Linked DNA regions of Nothobranchius furzeri. The protein of the gene in region 1 purifies or fractionates together with the protein of each later gene. This does not show direct contact. Links are inferred from orthologs where the notes say so. Each region holds a gene or a part of one and is shown in the gene's direction. Other genes may lie near its edges.

What was found. The genes of interacting proteins can lie anywhere in the genome.
Region 2: the proteins of rfc5 (region 1) and atad5a purify together in Homo sapiens (affinity purification with mass spectrometry; 4 studies listed by BioGRID and IntAct, counting the BioPlex papers as one, with this or other methods). This does not show direct contact. The link is inferred for Nothobranchius furzeri from reciprocal best matches to the Homo sapiens genes RFC5 and ATAD5.

What each region holds. Positions count from the first base shown.
Region 1 is NC_091750.1:34,475,517-34,483,625, forward strand, and holds the start of rfc5 (replication factor C subunit 5), read left to right. Parts: upstream 1-2,731; 5' UTR 2,732-3,067; coding exon 3,068-3,114; intron 3,115-3,408; coding exon 3,409-3,473; intron 3,474-3,679; coding exon 3,680-3,816; intron 3,817-3,916; coding exon 3,917-3,996; intron 3,997-4,089; coding exon 4,090-4,163; intron 4,164-4,620; coding exon 4,621-4,780; intron 4,781-5,383; coding exon 5,384-5,465; intron 5,466-5,938; coding exon 5,939-6,068; intron 6,069-8,109. UniProt on the Homo sapiens protein: Subunit of the replication factor C (RFC) complex which acts during elongation of primed DNA templates by DNA polymerases delta and epsilon, and is necessary for ATP-dependent loading of proliferating cell nuclear antigen (PCNA) onto primed DNA.
Region 2 is NC_091752.1:53,825,268-53,833,155, forward strand, and holds the start of atad5a (ATPase family AAA domain-containing protein 5), read left to right. Parts: upstream 1-3,899; 5' UTR 3,900-4,256; intron 4,257-7,888. UniProt on the Homo sapiens protein: Has an important role in DNA replication and in maintaining genome integrity during replication stress.

The sequences.
Region 1 (8,109 bases):
TGTTAAAAAAACCTTAACGATCACGGCTTCAATCGCAATAAAAAACAAGTTATGTCCAAGATAAATGGAAGTCTGCTACAGCGCAGAGACCGCCCCCATACCCCCTTTATGCCGCCATCACCTAATCTTAAATTGCCACGATTGTGCCACATTACCACCACGGTCCGATCTTATAAACGACCTTTATCCTGCCCAGGGCGCCGCGCAAATCCTGTTTTTCCAACGCTCTGGTCCTGTAAAAACAGCTAAAGTGACGGTGTTGAAACGGCTCATTCTGGAAGGTACTGAAAATGTCAAGAATAAAACAGTGGAAATCTCTTTTCATGAGGGGTATTTAGTGCAAATCACTTCATAAAAATGTTGAACCAAATATCATAACTTGAGAAGTCATAATATGTCCTCTTTAAAACGGACGTGATTGTTTTCTGGGATTCTTTACCCATGAGGCGTTGCCAGGCATTCTGGGAACATAGTGAGCATTCATCTTCACACTGTGGCTAAGAACTGGCAGCAAATGTGCACTATTAGTTCCTCCATCATCTTGGAAAGCCTTTGTATCACCTACTATCTTTAACCACGTGACATAAGGCATTACAACGTGTTTATTATAACATGTGGGATCACTCTCAGGAGACTTTATGATCGGCTATTTTTATGCAACCTATCAATTATATTCCAGCTGGGACTTTTAAGTGATTTGATGGTACTCAGTGGTGAGTTTATGGGCGCTTTATTGCACTTAATGGTGTTTGTTTTAATCTCCTGAGACATCACCCCAAAAAATAAATAAATACATTCTTGCAGGCCATTTAAAGCTGTGCAGTCTGCAGGTTGCTGTGCGGGGTTTTCTTTGACCTTTTTGCGCACTTTATGCCATTTTATGTCCTGAAAGTGCGCGCGCGCGCCTGTTTTAAGTGGTCTCAGAACGGGCAGTGTGACATCTCAAACAAAAACACCAGGGTATTTATGGCCATTACGTAACGCAATTTACGGAATACCCCGCGGGCCAATTAAGGGATATTTTGCAACAATGTCAGTTATCCGCGCGTCTTGCATAACCGCTCATGGGGTCTGGGACACGCTGCCACAGCAGATGCGCAGGCTGTCGTCTGCTGGTAATGGATTGTAAACACGGGCAGCCTATAGGCCTCGCATCATACTCTGATGAAGAGCCACCTTCATCCCCGCCACCTGCAGAATGCGCAAGTCTGTAAAACAACCCACTGCAGACGCACCGTGGCCTCTTGATTCATTGCACTGCACACAAAAAAACAAACAAATAAAACAGATAGCGGCGAGCTTTTAGCGGAGATCTTTGCATATGAATGCATTGGCAGCACAATGCCCCCTGGAAAAATGCACATAAATATGCAGAGTGGCCTAAAAACAGCACGGTGGCAGCCCTCGGGATGGATGGAGGTGGAGATGCACCACGTCCAAAAGAGACACCAATAAAAGCTTACCTCCAGCGTTCTTATCTCCTTTTGCGTCAAGTCGTTGGATGTGGCACATTTGGTCCGTAAACCCTCCAAACTAGAGATGCTTATGTCTATCATGTTCTGCACCAACTCGCACTGCTGCAAGGCTTTCTGCAAACTCAGATGCTGCTCCTCGCTTTTTGTCATCTCCTCGTTCATTGTTTGGCGAACAGTGGGTGGATAGTTCTCTTTGCAGGAGAAAAATGACAACGATAAAGATTATTTGAAGGAAATAAACGTGGAGGAGCCCACGGAGTACAGCGACCTGCAGAACGCCATGAAAAGAGATGCTGCGGGTTTGGATTCAGGGTTTGAGCCGTGACAGAGTCGACTCCATCGCCTCCATCAGTCCTGCTGGATCATCAAGGTGGGCTAAATCAGATGCAGCATGAAGACACCGAGCTGGACTGCGCGGTTTGACACAGCATCCATTGGGTGCCTCTTCCTCTCAGAAGGATGTTGAAAGAAAAAAAAGAAAAGAAAGGAAAAGAGGGATGTGGCTCAGCGCATCGTAAGCGGACAGCTCGGAGGGAAGTCTGGAGCGCTTAACGCTGCTGGATGCGGGTCCTCCGTGTCTCCCTGGGCAGCAGCAGCATCCCGGTACGTTCCCACCACACCGACATGATTCCTGTCAATCAAACCCACAGCAACAGCATAGCAGCGCCCAGGCTCCGCCGTGAGGGGCCGCTCTCGCGAGAACTCCAGGCCTGGATGAGAAACGGGTTTTCTTCATGTCCGAGTCAAAGATTTTTTTATTCTATTTCATTTACTCATATCAACGCCACATATATGTGCACTCTTATTACACACTTACACACACACACAATATATATATATATATATATATATATATATATATATATATATATATATATATATTTGATTAAAAAGATCGCAGTGCAAGCATCGCTGAAAAATCATAGATTGTTTAGTCAAAGATCAAAATGAGGCTAAGGTCAAACTTAGGTTTATATTAATTTTCTCGGGGTTATTTGACTTAAGGGGACTTTAAACCACAATAAAACCATAAACCTGTGTTTACATGAAAAATGTGATCTATTTTAGGTAAATCTTAACACGGGCATAGCTCATAACACATTTTCTAAAGAAATTAGAATGTTTAGGTACAAAGTGGGTAGTGACAAACATCTAGTCATCATCATCATCGTCGTCGTATCTGGAAATAGCTGACATAATTGTTTTTACGTTGTGCTTCTTTCAGGACATTCTGGCTAATATAATTGATCAAGCTGGATAAATATTTTTGGTTTTATTGGTTTCTAGTGATTTATTTGCAATGAGAAAAGAAAAAGTTTGACATTTAAACGAATTTGAAGAGGAACAACAATGTTTGACATTTCTTGCAGCGTACTGATTAGTCGCAGTTGTGTTAACTTTTTGCAGCGCTCAACTAACCACAGTGACCCCGCCCACTACAAAGACAAATACCGTCATCCAATTGGTTGTACGTATTGACGTTTTGACGCACGTTTCTCTCGTGAGCGCGGCAAAACAAGGCAGGGTTACAAGCTAACGAACAGGCTAAAATTCTAGTGTTTATTTGTGATTATTGTTCATTTGCAGGAGGCATGGCGTCTACGAGTAAAGTCCCGTTGCAGTCTCGGAATTTACCTTGGTGAGCAGAAAGCGCGTGTTTAATTACGCAAAGGTGCTTAGTGCTAGCTAGCTAGCATGCTAGTAGCTGAAGTGTTCACACTTGTGTCCCCCATCATAACTTTAACCTTTTACCGTTGCACAAACTCGTCAAACAGACCTTGTTAGGTTCGACAATAATGATTAAAATGGCAACGGAATCTACAGATTGGTTTTATTTGAGCTAATATGTTTGCTTTCTGTGCTGTCAAGCTTTAATCATTCAGTAAGTAGTTATTGTTTATAATATAACTGACGCACTTGTTTTGTATTTCAGGGTAGAAAAATACAGACCTCAAACCCTCGACGATTTAATTTCACACAAAGATATCCTGAGTACCCGTGAGTATCTGCAAGTAAAACACGTTGTTGTCTTCTTTCCTGAAGCTTCATCTGTGTAAAATAAATATTCACATCATAAAATTCTACTTTTAGTAACTAAAATCATGATAAAAATAAACGTTTCTCTGATTTCGTGTGTTTGAAATTATATTTTCATACTTATAAATGAGTTTATTTTTGTTAATAACTTATTTTATTACCTTCAGTCCAGAGGTTCATCAGCGAAGACAAGCTTCCCCACCTTTTGTTCTACGGTCCCCCTGGAACAGGCAAAACCTCCACGATCCTTGCCTGCGCCAGGCAGCTGTACAAGGATAAAGAGTTCAATTCCATGGTGCTGGAGGTAAACAAACACTTTCATGAGTGTTCAGGGCTTCTTCCTGTGCTGGAATGACCTCACGAGGGTTCGGAGATTGTTCAGAAACTTTGCTTTTTCTTTGCAGCTAAACGCGTCTGACGACAGAGGGATTGACGTTGTACGAGGTCCCATTCTGAGCTTTGCTAGTACCAGGACTATTTTTAAGTGGGTATAAACAAACTAAAAGGGCTTTTGGGACCCAGAACCTCTGAGATTTTGCAGGTACCTGTACGGCTGTCATCTTTTCTGTTCCTTCAGGAAAGGCTTCAAGTTGGTGATTCTGGACGAGGCCGATGCCATGACCCAGGATGCCCAGAATGCACTGCGCCGAGGTGAGCCATCTGTTCTCCAGGGCGCCGCCCACTGTGAGCCTCACAGCTGACTGAGCATCCTCATAATCTGGCTGCTTTTAAAATGGTGGATCTGCTTTCCAAAGCCAGATTTGTTTCCAAACGGATTCTTTTAGGAGTTTCAAACTGGGAGGAAATGGGAAAACATGTTTCCTGTTGCTGGTCGCTGTGGGTTTTGTTGCTGATTGCAATTTTACTCGTATTTAACTGAGGCATGCATAGAAAAGATGCTGTCAGACCCTGTCTTGCTTTAGAATATTTGATCCTTTTCATGTTTGGTTTAGAAATGCTGGCTGGTAGAACAAAAACCCACGGTGATGATTTGTGATTCTTATCAGAACTTTAAAATGTTTGCAATCATTTCCTACTGCAAGCAACACTTTCTGTTCGCTGCGTTAGTTTTAACGTCTCCTGCTTGTGCCGACCTCCTCTGTCGTAGTGATTGAGAAGTTCACAGAAAACACTCGATTCTGCCTCATCTGTAACTACCTGTCGAAGATCATCCCCGCTCTGCAGTCTCGCTGCACCAGGTTCCGCTTCGGCCCGCTCTCTCCCGACCAGATGGTCCCCCGACTGGAGCACGTTATCCAGCAGGAGAAGTAGGAACATTTCTTCTCTTTTCTTTTGCAGATTCGGTTTTTGCACCCAATCCTGGTCCTCTAGGGGCCCTGTCCAGCGTGTTTTAGTTGTTTCTCTGCTCCAACACACCTGATTCAATGCTTGAATCACCTGTTCAGCAGGTCGTTAAGCTCCGCAGAAGCTGCTGTGGTAAAACCTGCCCCAAAAATCACAGATGAGTTCATCTGAGGTGAAGTCAGAGTTCTGAGCTTCTTCTTCCACGTGAACATTTAAGTTCCCCTAATTATTGCAAACATTTGATTTAATGTAAGATACCAAAAATCACAAATGATCGTTTTATGCCATCGTGTTTTCAACGACTTTAAACATTTTTATTTTTTCTTTGCTTTCATGCAGACGCATGAAGTGCATGGATTGGAGAACTTTTCACACCTCAGAGCATTTAAACCTTCTCCAGGCCTTTTCCCAAGTCTTCCCATCAGAGTTGCTCCTTTAGGAAAGATTCTGGACTTGAATTTAGACTAAAGCGTTTCATTAAGAGATTTATATTTAGGTTTTAATCGGATGGATTGGAACTAATTTAAACTAAAAATTAACCGGATAACTTTTTTAACATGTGGCAGCGTTGAAGTGACTCCAGATGGAATGAAGGCCATTGTGACGTTATCATCTGGTGATATGAGAAGATCGCTCAACATTCTGCAGGTACGACTTAAATCTGCTTTCTTTCTGGCCCAGACGTTCATTTTCGATCGCCTGGAAGTAGGGATGCAACGATACCACTTTTTTCCCAAACCGATACGATACCGATACTTGGATCTGGGTACTCGTCGATACCGATTACCGATACTTCTACCACACAAAAAATGCAATGATTTGGAATACAGATTTTACTTTCTTCTCTGCTTTCAACAGGAAAAGACTGTGAGGAAGATAAAAAGTAAAATATATGAATGGAAATCATCACAAAACTAAAATATTAGGTGAACAGAAATGACAAGTTACAGTGAAGCCATTTTCAAACAACTGCATTGGTATCGGTTAACCTTTACCGATACTGGTATTGGTGCCGATACCAGTATCGTATCGGTGCATCCCTACCTGGAAGTGTTAAGTCGCCACAGCGTTCATCATCACATCAGTAGAGGGGTAAACTGGTGCTCTCTCTGGGATTTCAGAGCACCAGCATGGCGTACGGGAAGGTCACGGAGGACACGGTGTACACCTGTACGGGCCAGCCCCTTCGCTCAGACATCGCCAACATCCTGGACTGGTGCCTCAACAAAGACTTCAACACTGCTTACAACCGTATCCTTCACCACCACCTAATGTGTGGTGGTAGGGCTGCACAATATGTCGTAAATATATCGTTATCGCGATATCTGCATGCACGATATGCATATTGCAAAGAACAGATAAATATCGCAATGGTCAGCTCAAATGTTTGCTACACATGATGCGTTCTGTCAGATGGAGGCATGATGTTTTCTTAACAAATAAAAGAGCTTTTCACCCGTTTGGCCAGTCGGGTGGGTTCTCATGCGTTGGAGGCCCGCCCCCGAGGCGGACGGCACTTAATTTTGATGGTTGGCAAACGCCTGAGTCAGCTTAGTTCTGCTGATTTAGCCTTTCCCGGGATCCACCGATCGCCTTTTCTTTTTCCCTTTCCTCGCATCTTTTGCTTTTCTCATTTTTATGACTTTTTTTATTTCTTTGTTTTTGATTATTTTAGTTCCTGAGTTAAGTTTTTATTTATTGCAAATAGAGGTGCTGAAAAAAATCGATTCAAGTCTGAATCGGGATTCTTGTTTATAAAGATTCAGAATCGATCCACAAAGGTTCAGAATTGATTCCAAGAACTGAAATACTGAAACTGAAACTGGATGACCCGGTTCCGGTTGAGTGAACGCTGGCGCGTCTCGCTGCCGCTGCTCGCTGGCAAACAAACTTTTTGTATTTTTTTTTTCTTCTTTTTCACCCTGGTCACATCCCTGTGTCGGTGAAAACTCATTTTCACCTACCTGTTCAGCTTGCGTTCTGGTTGCACATCACCACCTCCCTGCTCCACTCCATAATGAGGTCCAGCAGGATTTCTGTGTGCCTCGCACTGGCCTGGATCATCCTGTCGCTCATTCTTCTGTCCGTGGATGGCCTTCTCCAGTACTCGGCGGCGGAGCTCTTCAACCTCCGCTTTCGCTACTCCGGATCTCCACCACCAGCTCTGTGCCTCTTCCCCGACATCACCTTCCAGCCTCGCCGTCGGTATATCCATCGGGGGTCCCGGCGGAACCTCCATCTCGACGGCTCCAAAGGAATACCCTCCTTCTGGTCCACGACTAGCCGGCGGCTACCCAGGAATACCTGCCGAGCTGCCGACTCCAGCGTGTTAGCCCGGCTGGCTAGTCGGACTAATGCTCCTGTCGCCAGGGACTTCCGCACTGCTAATTTTGGTCTTCTCAACATTCGCTCCCTCTCTGGTAAAGGACATCTCCTCCAAGATACCATCAGTGACCATAAGCTAGACTTTCTTTGTCTGAACGAAACATGGCAACAACCCAGCGATTTCTCACAACTCAATGACTGTACTCCTCCCGGATTTGTTTACCTCTCCAAACCCCGTGGGTCGGGCCGCGGCGGTGGTCTCGCGATACTGTATCGCGAGACTTGGAAGGTCCTTCCCGTAAACCTTCCTCCTCTCACCACTCTGGAATGCCTCGCCTGTCAACTCTCCGGCCCGACCCCCACAATAATTGTCACTGTTTATCGTCCCCCCAAGTTCAGCCCTGAGTTTTTAAATGAACTCTCTGCTCTTTTATCCCATCTGTCCGCCCTTTCCCCAAATGTAATTTTACTTGGTGATTTTAATATTCATATGGACAATATGGCCCTCCCCCTCAGCAAAGACTTCTCCTCATCTTTGGACAGCCTCAGTTTTCATCAATATGCCAATTTTCCCACTCACATTAAAGGTCACACCCTGGATTTAATCTGCTGCTCCGGCCTGACCCCCTCCAACTGCACAGCTGACCCGCTCCCTTTCACGGACCACTTCCTCATCTCCTTTTCTGTTCCCCTCCGTCTCTCCATCATCAAGTCACCACGTATCATTTCTTTTCGTAATATTAAGGACATTGATCTAGCCTCCCTGTCCTCCAGTTTTGCCACCCTGACCCCTAATTTGTCCTCTACTCCCGATGATCTTGTCATTCAGTACAATAACGGTCTGGTTTCTATCCTTAATTCATTTGCTCCCATCAAATCCCGCTCTGTATATTTTACTCGGTCTGCTCCATGGTTCACCCCTGCCCTTCGCTCCTTGAAAGCTACCAACCGGAGGCTTGAAAGACTC
Region 2 (7,888 bases), on another chromosome or scaffold:
AACGGATCCCAAAACATTGTTTTACTTCCTCCAACCTCCATAAACCCCTGCGTGTCCACCTATGGCAAGCCTGAAGGACAACAGACATCAACTAGAAACTTCTTGAAGAAATTTAAAAAGGGACCTGTCACCTGGCACAAGATATACATAGTAAAAAATGCCTCTTTGGAGGGCCTGCCATCTTATTAATCAATTAATTATGTGCGCATTTAATTTATAATTATGCAATAATTTTGCTAATTTAGAGTAGCACACACTCAAAATGAAAAAAAAAATCTCTGTTTTTTGTAAATAATTTAGCCATGGTGGCACACCTCCCACGGCCAAGCCAGTCATTTTAATGTCTTTGTGTGAGGGTGCACACCAATGTTCGAGCTGCATTAACGTCCGTGGAAGAATAATCATAAAGCAAATAAATCCTCCGGTGAAGAACAATAAGGGCCCTGCTGACAGAGCAGCAGGTCCCTAATAACAACTTCTAGGCTTTTGGACTCGAAGGTCCAACATGTTGTGTAAAAACTACTGTTTTTAGCACATTTTAGCTCAGACTTGTTGCTACTGTACGTGTGGGTAGTCAGGTCACACCCAAGCATTAGGTCGTACAGTCATGGGCGTAGTTTTGACTTTAGAAGTGGGGGGGGGGGGGGGGGACACGACACAACCAGGGTGGGGGGGTCTGTTCAGTAAGTATGCAAAACATATGTATAAAACTACAGCCTAGAGGCATTTTTATGCAATGTCAGGAATGCAGAACTGTCAAGTACACAGGTGGTAGGAACGGCCCATCACACGTTAGCAAGTATCACCAGATGAGCTCATGGACAGTTCTAACGGGAAACAGGCTTCAACACAAGCGGTTGTTTTCCTCTTGGTCCTAGTGCTCAACCAGCGTCTATTTAATATAGCGTAATAATTATTTTTGATGGTAAAATGTGCAGGGGACAAAACTTTACTTAAAAAAAGTGGGGGGACATGTCCCCCCTGTTCCCCCCAAAACTACGTCTATGCATACAGTGCGAGAACATGGCTCATTAACTTTGCTCTGCAAGGAAATCATACAGTTAGAGATGGAGCTAAATGCTAAGGGTCTAAAAGTCGCACGGCGTACACCCGGCTTTAGTCTCCTCCCCTTCCAGTCGGCTCATGGGTCCCTGGAAGGAAAAAAAGAAAAAAAAGAGCGTCAACGGGGCAACAAAAGTTATTTACTGGTCTACTTTGCCTTTCACCCCGAATCACACTTATGTTGTACTTAAATTTAAATGAGAAATAATTTTGTGTAGTTTGACTATTTCATGTAATTTGGGATTTATTAGCTTGTAAGAATTGGTAAAGAAAAATAAATCACAAGTCGCATTTATGAAGCATCCCAGCACAATCTCTTCTCCCCCAGTGTACTTACCACATGGACAGAGTTATGGTGGTTTTCTCCATGTTTAATGCTTCTTATTTCATCCTGGAAGAAGAATGCAAATCTCGCTAAACTCATGGCCATTTTCTTCTGGAGGATAGAGTGAGGCTTCAGAGTGTGGTAAAGACAGCACAGAAGATCATCGGCTGCCCTCTCCCCTCCCTGATGGACATTTATTCCTCCCGCTGCCTCAGTAGGGCAGCAAACATCATCAAGGATAGCTCCCACCCTGGCTTCAACATGTTCAGACTGCGTCCCTCAGGGAAGCGCTACAGGTGCATTAATACAAAAACCCACAGACTCAAAAACAGTTCCTTCCCCAAAGCAATAACCACGCTGAACTCACACATGCACCGATAACACAGCCCTCCACTTCCCACTGCCTCTATTGACCACCACTATTTATACCAATTCTATTGCAATAACTGTATATACATAACACTAATACTGTCCATATGTATATAGTGCTGCAGAACTGAAACCCCCCCCCCCCCCCCAGCATTTTTTTTTGTTTTTTTACACTGAGTAGGAGATGCTCTGTATCTCATTTTACAATTGTATTGTGACAATAAAGGCATTCTATTCTATTCTATTCTATTCTCCTTGTGCTTCTCATCTGGTTAGATGTAAATTAGAAATTAGATCAATTTATGCTTAATCTTACATATGTGCATAAAATTTTCTATTATTATGCAAAGTGATATTTATGAAATCAATGAAGCTAGAAATCTTTGATTTTCCTATTTTAAATTCACACACAGCTGTTATTTAACCCATTCCCCTAAACATTTCGTAGTTGCCTTTCTGCCTGATGCAACTTATTTCATTTTGTGCTGCTGTGTTTGCATACTGATTGCATTTGCTAAAGTGATCTAATTTCCTCACAACGAACACCGAACACGATAATAATAACAATAAGTCATGTTCTCCTTCTGGTACTGCAGGTCATGATGGAAACCACCACACATCAGCCTGAATTAGATTATAACCAACGCATAGAAGGACAAACACTTAGCCCAGTTCAGAGCTGAAAGTGGCACAAGAGATTAATGTTTGCTTTTAAACAAGCTGAGGTTCAAGCTGTGAAACAGTGACTGATAATAGAATTTCATTTAGCTGAAATCCAGTTAGAATATATACATTTATTTCTGTCTGCCGTTAATAAAACCTTTTTTGGTACAGAATAATTACAAGTTATGCTAATAGTAACAGTTATGATGAATAAATACAAGGCAGTCAGGTTGCATTTTGCAAAATTCATGAAAATGGGCATAAATCTAACTTTATTTTCAGCTGAAAACTGTCATATTTGTTTCTACATGCGTTGTCTCTTTTCTTGCTTCAAGCAGCTGAAGTGTTCTCCATTTCTATATCCAGCTTTCTCTCTTTGGGCGCAGCACTCAGATCTGATGGTTGTCAGTCTCTGATTTCATGTGGCAGACAACAAAAAGCTGGCAGGGATCGATTTGTATGGAGGTAGTCCAACTGGTGTGTGAGCTCCTGGCCCTGCTAAATCAATACTCCAGCTCTGATGCACAATAAAGAAGAAACGGCAGCATTGGTGGGATGAGTAGGAAATGAATGAGATGGTGTCCAAAGAGGTGACTTTGTGGCTAGGGTTGGGCATTGATTGATTTTGAACGATTCCGATTCCAATTCCAATTTCTCGTTTCGATTCCGGTTCCGATCGATTCCCGATTCCGATTATTTGAAGACATGACATGTTTTGCATGAGCCAGCTAACCACAGGTCCTACTTGATGAAATAATCTTAACTTCAACATGAATTTTAATTTTATGAACAATTAACATCACCTTCATTTAGACAAAAATGTGTTTTGGAGAAAAAAAGAAAGACTTGCAGCACAACTGCCATGTTTACATGTGCATATTTAATCGGATTGAACGCCCAATCAGATTGAAAATTCTGCATGTAAACATGTCAATCGGAATATTCTGATCCGATTCAATCCGACTGAGAGAGGTGGTTTATTGTGTTCATCATTCCGATTGACGTGCATGCACACAGCCATTCGGATTGTTGGGGTAAAATAATGCCCACTGCGCATGTGTGCAACAGCGAGTGGACCTCTCTGCTGTCATTTGGACTGCCTGACTTCAAAAATGACGGTGTAATTAACGAGCGGCGGCGGCTTTTAAATCCGATGACAAGCCGTCCCCGTTTCATTAATATTTAATTCAGAACTTGCATTTTGTTGAAGGAAAAATAAAAACCTGATTATTGCACAAATCTTTCGACAAACATGTTCAAATCTGTACTGGAAATGCGCAGGTTTATTGCAGGGGTTGCAGCGCACGGATCCCCGTTTCTGTCAGCTTTGAACGCAGCAGCTTCTGCAGCAGGTGATGAAGACGCGCTTGTAAAGAAGACAGGATAATAGGGGTTTTACAAACCTGATTGGAGGCTGGTGTTGGGTAGGAAAACGTCCTCGGTTAAATATTCTGGACGACAGTAAAGTCCGTGTTAAAAGCACATAAACGCAGATGACCTGAGATGCGGTTCGTTAATGATGAACACAGGCTTCTAAACTTTCTGAACATCTTGTTATTTTGTTTGAACAGATTTTTCTCAACAGTTTCAGCTGATTGTCACATGTTCATAAAAAAGCCACAACAGAGCTCAGTAATAAAACATGAGTCACGAGATCACGTTTATTTTTCACGAAGATCGGCCGCGGACTCCTCTTCCGTCGAAATACTGGGAATCAAAACTAGGAATTGAAATAAAAAACATTGAGCGATTCCGGGAAAAATGATGAACAGTTGGAACCGGTTCCAATCGATGCTGATTCTCGATGCCCAACCCTATGCTAACACTGTGACTTGAGGTAAGAAGTTAAAAAATATTATGGACAGAAAATGCAATTTATCAGCTTTTCTTTCACCTTTGCACACAAATCTAATTCTCTATCTCCTATGAGTGCTGGTCTAGAAATGCAAAATCCATTAATAAGTCTTATTTCTACAACGCTGCTAATGTATTGCTTTAACTTTTAAAAGGTAGAATTCAAAAAACTGATTTTAAACACGAGTGAAGTTGACTGTTGATTTGGTGCCTGAAGCTGCTATCCAGGCTGTTTGTTTCTGCAGACACTCCAGATGGAGCTGTTGCCTCTGGTGGATCTAACTTCCTGGAAAGCAGAAACTAGACTAAAATCACTCAAAGACTGACAAAATGTCAGATCTCTTATCTTATTTATGTCTGTATTTAAGAATATATCTGTTCTGACTGAATCAGAGTTTAAAGAGCAAGTCACCACCAAATCAACTTTTTTTGCTGATAAACTATATAAACGAGTGTCTAATTGTGCTGCAGACACGCGTAGTCAATAATTTGGCACTTCAGTGCATCTTAGCTAAAATTTTAATATTCTGCCTAAAACTGTCAGTGTTCCGCTGTCGTCAGGGAAAAACTCTGCACTGTATCTGAATTTAAATCTGCCACCGCTATTGGCTAAGAGGTATGCTATGATGTTAGCTGGTACATTATGATGTCACAATGCCATTGTGAGCCTGTGTGTGTGTGTGTGTGTGTGTGTGTGTGTGTGTGTGTGTGTGTGTGTGTGTGTGTGTGTGTGTGTGTGTGTGTGTGTGTGTGTGTGTGTGTATTTGTTAGCGGCTCCACCCTCTCGGTCTGCCAGGCAACAGCATTTGTTGCATTTTTCAAACATGAAGTGGGAGTGGAGTTAGTAAATTGTAGGGGGTGACTTGCTCTTTAAGCAGCTGTTTCTGTTTTCTGGCTTCTTGCTAGCTGAAGTGTTCATTCACATATTCAGTCCTGGTGAGTGGATGAGTTATAACTAGTTATCAGAACAGCCTCAGGAATTATTTTTAAAAATGAAAAAAAAAAGACAAATAGAGCCATTAAAAACCAGAGGTCCTATAGAAAATGTGAAGGTTGATTGTCATGAAGAGGGGGATATGTTGGCAAGAGGAAGCAAGCAGGGTATGCTTTGGAAATGAAGAGATTCCAAGCTAATGCACCTTGCACAAGTTAGGATGTAGCTCCTTACGGCCTTAGCATGACCTGAGACTGGAGAAGAAAAGGAAGAGAAGGAGGATGAAGCATAATCTAATGAGTAGTGACCAGCTGAAATGATGTAGTCTGGCTAGCCAGAATGAATAAATATATTACTTAGTCTGGCAACGCTCCATTGACGATTCTCAGTCGTAGGGTGGTTTCTACCGTTGTCTTTCAAACGATCTCCGCATGCTACTGAACAACGAACAACGTGGCATACTCACGGCAAGAGATGTCGGTAAACAAGGCAGTCCACTGTTGTACCATTATGGACCAATCACAGTGCTCTATTGGTTCGAAACCCCTATAGAGAGCAATGATTGGCCTGCCAGAATGCTGCTAGGGGCTGCAGAGGTTCCAATGGAGCATTCCCAGACCAAACTTTGCAAAGCAGGAATTTGGTCTGGTTCACCAGGATAGAAATGATGTTCAGGTCACAAGAGTTTAACTAGTACAAAGTTCTTAGAAATATCTTAAGTTCGTATTTTTTTCTAAGGCTTGATCTACACAACAAGATTTTAAAATGGTGAAAAATGTTCCAAACAAGAGTGATCCCACACATAGTGATAAAGAAAATCAAGGATACACCAGTTTTGGTCCTGCAGTGAGTGGTGTCCAGCCATAAGACACTCAACACACCTCTTTGGTGTGTTCTTGCTGTGTTGAAATTCTAATTCCATCTTTTAGTTCTTTTTAAAACACAGAAAGGTTTGCAGCTGCAAACGAAACGTTGCAGGTAAATAAAACCTTTCTGTGTTTTAAAAAGAACTAAAAGATGGGGTCAACACACCTGATATGAACTGGTTTCACTCGGGTCAGAACAGAAATCTCACAGAAACCTGACTTTCACAGAAAAAGTAAGACTTTGTTTCGAAATGTGTCTTTATGCAGATGATGTGATGCTGTGTGTCATAGATAGTATTTTCAGACTGTGGATGTCCATTTAATCCAACAAAAACAGCCATGTAGAAAAGTGTTGAGTCTCTTTTATAAAAAAAAAAAAAACTCTATTTTTCTATTCTGCAAAGACTCCTAAGAGTTGTCTGGTCTGCTCAGAAGAGCGTCTGGCCACTCTAGTCAAAAATCAGGAAATAATAAACTTGTTGGATTGTTGTGATCCAATATTGAGAACAAGCATGCTGCTTGTTAACTATTACAACCTTTGCCATGTGAGTCGAAAGTGAAAAGCTCAACCCGACACAAATCAGGAGTGTTTATGTCAGCGATAAACAAAATAAAGAAGACTAAATTAGCAACTTCACTTGGGAATGACAATTTGGATGAAATCCAAGAATTCCGTTCATTATCTAATGCCACGAGACAGTAACGGATAAAAACAACTATCATTGGTGTAAAACCATTAAAAATTATGGATTAATTAACGTTTGAAATGTTTTAGAGTATACATACAGTGCTCAGCATAAATGAGCACACCCCACTACATGTGACAGAAAACCTTTAGTCTCCTTTTAGAATCAACATTTTTTACGAGGTACTATACAAAATACTCCCACAAATGTGGACCAAACGAGATTTATTAATTTTCACAGACAAAAAGTGATTTTCCTAACAAATCCTTTCAAGCCCATGTTGCAAAAAGGTGTACACCTCAATTATAATATTAGAAGAAAAGCCACACTTAAGACTATAAAATTTGAATTAACAGGCATTCAACCACAGGTGAGCCTAATGATTCATTTAACCCTCCCACTGGCTTTATGGGTGACCACCGCGAGGAAAGTTCACCGTTGAGCAGGATTGATGGTTTATCCCTTGAGGTCCACATGGCAGGGGTGAGGTGGTGCTCACTCCTCACCCCTGCCGCATGGGCCCAAGGGATAAATCATCAACCCTGCTCAATGGTCAACTTTCCTCACAGGGTCACACCCACTAGGACAGTGGGAGGGTTAAGGGGTGCCCAGCATTACTTAAAAAAATAATAACTTCCCATTTCATGCTCTCAGCAATGGCTCCACATGGTAGAAAATGTATCAAAATCTGAGAAAGGAAATAATTTCTTTACATAAAAAAGGTGAAGGCTACAAGAATATCAGCAAAGCTTTACATATCAGTCAAAATACTGTGGCAAAGTGATCCAAACACTTAAGAAAGATGGAAGTGCAACCTCACGGAGATGTACAGGCCATCCACAAAAGTGAACATCTCGACAGGAGCGTCTTCTGATGAGAAGGGTTGAAGAAAATCGCCATGCAAGTTCACTGCAGTTAGCTAAAGCAGCAGAAAGCCAAACTGGAGTGACCGTTTCTTGTGACACCATACAGCGCAAACTGCAGAGGAATGGCTTGCATGGGTATTGTCCATGAAGTAAGCCTCTCCTAAAGCCCATGTACAAAAAATTACACACCTGGAATTACCTAGGGCCCATGCTCAAAGAGAGGAAGCATACTGGGACTCTATACTCTGGAGTGAGGAGACAAA